2 linked regions of the Callithrix jacchus genome follow. The protein of the gene in region 1 purifies or fractionates together with the protein of each later gene. This does not show direct contact. Links are inferred from orthologs where the notes say so. Each region holds a gene or a part of one and is shown in the gene's direction. Other genes may lie near its edges.

Region 1 (3,645 bases):
GGTTACATGCTCTATTGTGACATTTGCTGTGACTTTGTTAACACTTAAATCATATTTTCATAGACCTCCGTTGTTCTTTTGCTGCAGTTTGCATGATAGGAGTGTACAGTGCCTCTGATGGGGAACATTGGATTTGTCAGTTTCCACAGTTACAGGCAGTGAATCAATGAATATCCATATATGTGTTATCCATAGGCATATTTTTAGGGATCACTACCTAGAAGTAGAATTTTTGATTGAAGGATACTTGCTTTTTATTTTATTTTTATTCTTTAATTTTTTTGAGATGGAGTCTTGCTCTGTTGCCAGGCCGGAGCGCAGTAATGCGACCTTGGGTCACTGCAGCCTCCAACTCCTGGGTTCAAGTGATTTTCCTGCCTCACCCTCCTGAGTAGCTGGGACTACAGGCAAGCGCCACCAGGCCCAGCTAGTTTTTATATTTTTAGTAGAGATGGGGTTTCACCATGTTGGCCAGGATGGTCTCAATCTCTTGACCTCATGATCCACCCACCTCCACCTTCCAAAGTACTGAGATTACAGGCATGAGCCACCACCCCTGGCTTTTTCTTTTTTTGACATGGAGTTTTGCTCTTCTTGTCCAGTCTGGAGTGCAGTGGCATGATCTTGGCTCACTGCAACCTCCACCTCTTGGGTTCAAGCAACCCTCCTGCCTCACCCTCCTGAGTAGCTGGGACTACAGGCAAGCGCCACCAGGCCCAGCTAGTTTTTATATTTTTAGTAGAGATGGGGTTTCACCATGTTGGCCAGGATGGTCTCAATCTCTTGACCTCATGATCCACCCACCTCCACCTTCCAAAGTACTGAGATTACAGGCATGAGCCACCACCCCTGGCTTTTTCTTTTTTTGACATGGAGTTTTGCTCTTCTTGTCCAGTCTGGAGTGCAGTGGCATGATCTTGGCTCACTGCAACCTCCACCTCTTGGGTTCAAGCAACCCTCCTGCCTCAGCGTCCTGAGTAGCTGGGATTACAGGCATGAGCCACCATGCCCAGCTAATTTTTTGTATTTTTAGTAAAGATAGGGTTTCTCCATGTTGGTCATGCTGGTCTCGATCTCCCGACCTGAGGTGATCCACCCACCTCAGCCTCCCAAAGTGCTGGGATTACAGGCATGAGCCGCCATGCCCAGCTTGTTTTTCTATCATAAAATTAGCAACTTCTGTTTAGAATGAGAAGTGGTTGTCTCACCGTCACCTCATCCTGTCCAGAGCCAGAGCATTGTGTCCTTTGCAGCACTGTGCACGGGGACGATCACTGTGGGCTCATACCACTACCGTGTGTTTCCTTCCTACTCACAGTTCCAGTCCTTCAGTCAGTACCGCTGCAAGACTGCCAAGAAGTCAGAGGAGGAGATTGACTTCCTTCGTTCCAATCCCAAAATCTGGAATGTTCACAGTGTCCTGAATGTCCTTCATTCCCTAGTAGACAAATCCAACATCAACCGACAGTTGGAGGTATACACAAGCGGAGGTGAGCACAGCAGGCTGACAGCCGCTACCTATGAATTTCCAGCTGCTTGCCATCTGTTCCAAAGGAATAGATACTGCAGGTAGAGCAGGCGAGTCACCACGTCTTAGGCAACGGGCTGTTGACTCTTCCTAGGTGCTTGAGTACGAACAGCAGCAGAGTGTTCATGCTGGGGGCTGTGGGGCTTGGGAGTCTGTTGGCCAAAAAACTGAACCAGCACATTGAGATTTGCATTTGTAAACATTTCTACTGTGTCTGCAGCGCTTTTGTTTAGATAAGCACTTCTCACACGTGTTAGTGTCAGAGCCCATTTTAGCCTGTTAAAATATTGAGAACCCCAAAATGTATATTAAAAAAAAAATGGGGGACTGGGCCCGATGGCTCATGCCTGTAATCCCAACACTTTGGGAGTCTGAGGCGGGAGGATCATAAGGTCAGGAGTTTGAGACCATCCTGGCCAACGTGGTAAAACCCCATCTCTACTAAAAATATAAAAATTAGGCATGGCGGCATGTGCTTGTAATCCCAGCTACTCAGGAGGCTGAGGCAGGAGAATCACTTGAAACCAGGGAGGCGGAGGTTGCAGTTAGCCGAGATCATGCCACTGCACTCCAGCCTGGCAACAGAACAAGACTCCATCTCAAAAAAAAAATTTTTTTTTTCGGCCAGTCATGCTGGCTCACGCCTAGCCTGAGGACTTTGGGAGTCTGAGGAAGGCGGATCACAAGGTCAGGAGTTCAAGACCAGCCTGGCCAACGTGGCAAAACCCTGTCTCTACTTAAAAAATATAAAAATTAGCCAGGTGTGGTGACTCGTGCCTGTAATTCCAGCTGCTTGGGAGATTGAGGAAGAATTGCTGGAACCTGGGAGGTGGAGGTTGCAGTGAGCCAAGATTGCACCATTGCACTCCAACCCAGGACAACACCAAGACTGTCTCAAAAAAAATTTTTTTTTCAGTAAAGAGCGACATTTTTGTAGATCTCTCTGTGGCTGGCTTCATGCAAAATACCTGGCCTCTCATGTCTGCTTCTGCATTCAATCTGTTGCAGTGTGCACTTTGGTTTGAAGCACAGAAAGCTCACGCTTGTAATCCCAACACTTTGGAGGCTGAGGCAGGCGGAGCACATGAGGTCAGGAGTTCAAGAACAGCCTGGCCAACATGGTGAAACCCCATCTTTACTAAAAATATAAAAAATTAGCTGGGTGTGGTGGCGGGTGCCTATAATCCCAGCTACTCGGGAGGCTGAGGCAGGAGAATAGCTTGAACCCAGGAGGCGGAGGTTTCAGTGAGCCAGTCGCACTACTACACTCCAGCCTGGGTGACAGAGTGAGACTCTGTCTGAAAAAAAAAAAAAGATAGGCATATGCAGGTATTAAAAAATGCAAAATCCAAAAGGCTTCTGGTCACAAGCATTTATAGAATACTCACCCTGTACTACTTTGGAATAACCAGTGGCAGTTTCATACACATTAGGTGCAGTGAGGAATCTGAGGCTGTGTTAGTGAACTTTTCCTTCGTTACATATACATATATGTATATATATTTGAGATGGAGTCTCACTCTGTCATCAAGCTGGAGTGCAGTGGCATGATCTCCACTCTCTGCCATCTCCACGTCCTGGGTTTAAGTGATTCTCCTGCCTCAGCCTCCCGAGTAACTGGGAATACAGGCACACGCCGCCACTCCCAGCTCGTTTTTGTATTTTTTCAGCAGAGATGGGGTTTCACGATGTTGGTTCAGTATGGTCTCCATCTCTTGACCTCGTGATCTGCCCCCTCTGCTTCCCAAAGTTCCTGGGATTACAGGCGCGAGCCACCCTGCCTGGCTTTCCTTTGTTATATTAACGTTGTTGATTACTCCTATAATTTGAATGAGTTTCTTAAATCCGTGTCGTCCGCGTGTGGTTTTTTTTTTCCCTCTGAGACAGAGTCTGCTCTTTCAGCCAGGCAGAGTGCAGTGGCATGATCTCAGCTCATTGCAACCTCCATCTCCTGGGCTCAAGTGATTCTTGACAATTTGGTGTCGCTGCCTCATCCTCCCGGGTAGCTGGGATTACAGGCATGCATCACCATGCCCGGCTGATTTTTATATTTTTAGTAGAGACAAGGTTTCACACACTGGTCAGGCTAGTCTCGAATTCCTGTGCTCAAGTGATCT
Region 2 (3,645 bases), on another chromosome or scaffold:
GGAGGAAATGACTGTGTAGGGTGCTGAGTGCCATGATAAAGGTCCACACTGTGCTGCAGAGGCCTGGAGCAAGGGCACCCACCCACACATAGACCTAAGATACCCAAGCATTGATTGCCAACTTGAGATCTGGCATGTGGTACGGGATGGCCCCACTTGTCCACACATACGGGCTCCCAGCCCCGCTCCCCTGTGCTTAGGGGGAGAGGGGCTCAATGAAGACAATGGGTGGAATGAATGATGCTGTTTCTCTCTTGTTTCTGAAAGATTTCTCCGTGGACAATGGCAGCCACGATTCAGGCCATGGAGAGGAAGATTGAATCACAGGCTGCTCGCCTGCTTTCCCTAGAAGGTCGAACTGGGATGGCTGAGAAGAAGCTGGCCGACTGCGAGAAAACAGCCGTGGAGTTCGGGAACCAGCTGGAGGGCAAGTGGGCCGTGCTGGGAACCCTCCTGCAGGAGTATGGGCTGCTGCAGAGGCGGCTGGAGAACGTGGAGAACCTGCTTCGCAACAGGAACTTCTGGATCCTGCGGCTGCCCCCGGGCAGCAAGGGGGAGGCCCCCAAGGTAGCCCTGGGATGCCCTGGGGTGTGGGAGCCCAAGGGGCAAAGCCTGTGAGTGAGTGAATGTGACACTTGTGGTTTCAGGTGCCCGTGACCTTTGATGATGTGGCCGTGTATTTCTCCGAGCAGGAGTGGGGCAAGCTGGAGGACTGGCAGAAGGAGCTCTACAAGCATGTGATGAGGGGCAACTACGAGACGCTGGTCTCCCTGGGTAAGGCCTGACACTCATTTCTCTGTTAAATGGGATTTTGCAAGTCCTCAAACTTCTCTCTCCACATAGTTGTTTCCTGGCAGTGATATGTGAATCACCAGAAACATTGTTTACCTTGCAAGTTGTTACCTCCTGTGAAAGATGAGCCCTGGGTGATGGAATCAAAAGCTCCCTTCTCCCTGTGCAGAGGGTCCCAGAATGCCAGGATAGGAAAGGTGGCGGTGTCTCTTCTCTGCAGGCCCAGGGTGTGGACCTTTCTGTTGGTGCTGACTTGGAGCAAGGAAGGCCCCTCCTGCTCTCAGATCCAGTATGTAATCCACTCACATTTGAGAAAGACTCTTTCTTTCAGCCTTCTCCCACAGAGATTTGTGGCCCTTACGGTGACATGCCTCAAGGTCAGTGGATAACGTGGGCAGACGGTGCTGCTTGCAGCAGACATTTTCTTCATGCCTCAAAACTCTGCTTCCCTCAGCCCCTGGGGCTACTGCTGCTCTCCTCCTTTGATCCTGCCCAGGAAGGGCCTGGACTCTGTTTCTTCCTGGGCTGATTTCCTCTTCCTGATGGTTTCTGTGTGACCCCAGAGCTGAGGGCAGTGAGACCTGATAGAGAGGACAGGAGCAGGTACAGTCGTGAGGTGACATTTCATCAGCACAAGTGTGCCGCTGTTTCACATGCACGCTCTGTGGCAGTTTCTTCACTCTGGCACTGCTGACATTTGGGACCGGGTGATTCTGGGTCGGGGCCGTCCTCTGCGTTGTAGGATGTTCAGCAGCAGCCCTGGCCTCTACCCCCCAGATGCCAGTCACCTCTCCCCAAGCCCTGGGCACAGCGATCAGAATTCTGTCCAGACTTTGCCGCACGTCCCCGGGAGGAAAATTGCCTGTGACTGAGAGCTCCTGCTCTATGACGATCAAGAGATTTCCTTTCTAGACCACTGTTGGTTTTCCGGGCTGACTGTCCCCAGCTCTGACTGGAACGAGGTGAAAACTAACCTTCTGTCTTTCCTCAGACTATGCCATCTCCAAGCCCGAGGTCCTCTCCCAGATTGAACAAGGGAAGGAGCCGTGCAGCTGGCGCCGCCCCGGCCCCAAGATTCCAGATGTTCCTGTGGACCCCAGTCCAGGTAAGGGCTGGGAGAAGGCCAGGGAGGCATCAGGTGATCTGCGGGAGACAGACAGAAAGGCCAGGAACGGTGTGATCTTCCCAGAGAGAGCCGAGGAGACACATCAAACTTACTTGTGTTTGGTCTGAGTTTTTTTATAGTGGAGTTTTAACCTCTGACTTACTCAGCTAATGCTCCAGGAATGAACACTTTCTATCAGGGAAACAGGTGGCAAACCTACTCTTTTAGGAAGAGTCAAAGCCAGGGCACAGATGACAGGAGGGAGAGGAGGACACTGAGAGGGAAGGCCGGAGAATAGTCGACTCTTGAACAACACGGGGACCAGGGGTGACAGACCCCAATCCCACGCAGCCCAAGGTCTATGTCTAACTTGACTCTCCAGAAAGTTAACTGCTAATAGTCTCCTGTTGACCAGAAGCCTTACTGATACTATGTACAGTCAATAATACATAATTTATATGTCCTGGTTACTATGTATTGTATTCTTTAAATAAGCTACAGAAAAAATGTTAGGAAAACAAGGAAAAGGAAATATGTTTGCTACTCATTAAGTGGAAGGGGGTCCTCATAACGTCATCATCCTCAGTGTCATCTTCAGACTGAGCAGGCTGAGGAGGGAGAGGAGGGGTTGTTCTTGCTGTCTCAGGGGTGGCAGAGGCAGAAGAAAATCCACTTGTAAGTGGGCCTCCATAGTTCAAATCCATGTTGTTCAAGAGTCAGCTGTATATTGAAGATAATATTAATTCAAAGCTTTACCAAGAGTCAGCCTTGCCTCTGAAAACCAACCTGAATTTAGAGCAGTAGCAGTTGTAGAACATACACCCATTGGTCAGCCATATGGTTCGGTTGATTTAGAAGCACACATTTATTTAAGGTGAATCTGGTTACCAGATACCAGTGTCTCAGATTTCCCTGGAGCTGCTCAGCACCTTTGAAAGTTAAGAGAAAGACAGGTGGGCACAGGAGAAAACAAAATTCCTAAAGTGAAGTGAAGACCTGCTGGGTCATTTGACCAGGGAGACCACATCTCTGGCAGGCTGGACCCCTGATTCCTCCAGAAGACTCGCCCTTGACCGTCCCACCTGCCTTGGTTTTCCCTTTCGTCTGAGACTGAGAAAGGTGGTGTTATGCAGGGGCCTCCTGCGCTCCACCTGTGTGAAATTAAACGCGGCTCCCATGTTTGTCATCTCATCTCAATTAGATTGGTACTTTCCTAAGGGCAAAAGCATGTTCCGAGCGGGCCACTTTACCAGTCATCATCAGGACATTCACAGTTTAGTTCCACAGATGCATTTTGAGCATCTTCTAGGTGTCAAGGACAGTGCTGAGCGCTAGAGGACAGAAAGATGACTGAGAACAGATAGCCTCAGGCTGGAAAAGAGGGTTACAACCCAGGCGCGTCCAGCCTCCTAGCCTGGGTGGGAGGTTCTCAGTGGGTGGGTTTCATTGTGTTTACAGTGTGTGTGGAGGCTTCCCTCGCTTCCACACCATCATTAAATGAGAGTAAAGAAGTCCCCCAAATTATGTTGGTTGCTGGTAAGATCCCGCCACACTCTGTCTGCATCGTATGATGTTTAGCAGCATCCGTGGCCTCTACCCACCAGTAGACAAAATGAATAGAGACAAACTCTACTGTCCACCTTGAGCCTGTCAGCAGGGATCCTGTGTGGACTTTATCCCCGTCCTCTTGGTCCAAGAAACCAGGAATCACAGCGCATCCCTTGCCATGTTTGGCCTGGCCCATCGCC

What was found. Proteins that work in one complex are often made in the same cells at the same time.
Region 2: the proteins of EIF3L (region 1) and ZNF746 purify together in Homo sapiens (affinity purification with mass spectrometry; 3 studies listed by BioGRID and IntAct, counting the BioPlex papers as one, with this or other methods). This does not show direct contact. The link is inferred for Callithrix jacchus from reciprocal best matches to the Homo sapiens genes EIF3L and ZNF746.

Annotation. Positions count from the first base shown.
Region 1 is NC_133502.1:208,875,617-208,879,261, forward strand, and holds part of EIF3L (eukaryotic translation initiation factor 3 subunit L), read left to right. Parts: intron 1-1,318; coding exon 1,319-1,490; intron 1,491-3,645. UniProt on the Homo sapiens protein: Component of the eukaryotic translation initiation factor 3 (eIF-3) complex, which is required for several steps in the initiation of protein synthesis.
Region 2 is NC_133512.1:98,258,637-98,262,281, forward strand, and holds part of ZNF746 (zinc finger protein 746), read left to right. Parts: intron 1-267; coding exon 268-567; intron 568-647; coding exon 648-774; intron 775-1,783; coding exon 1,784-1,897; intron 1,898-3,645.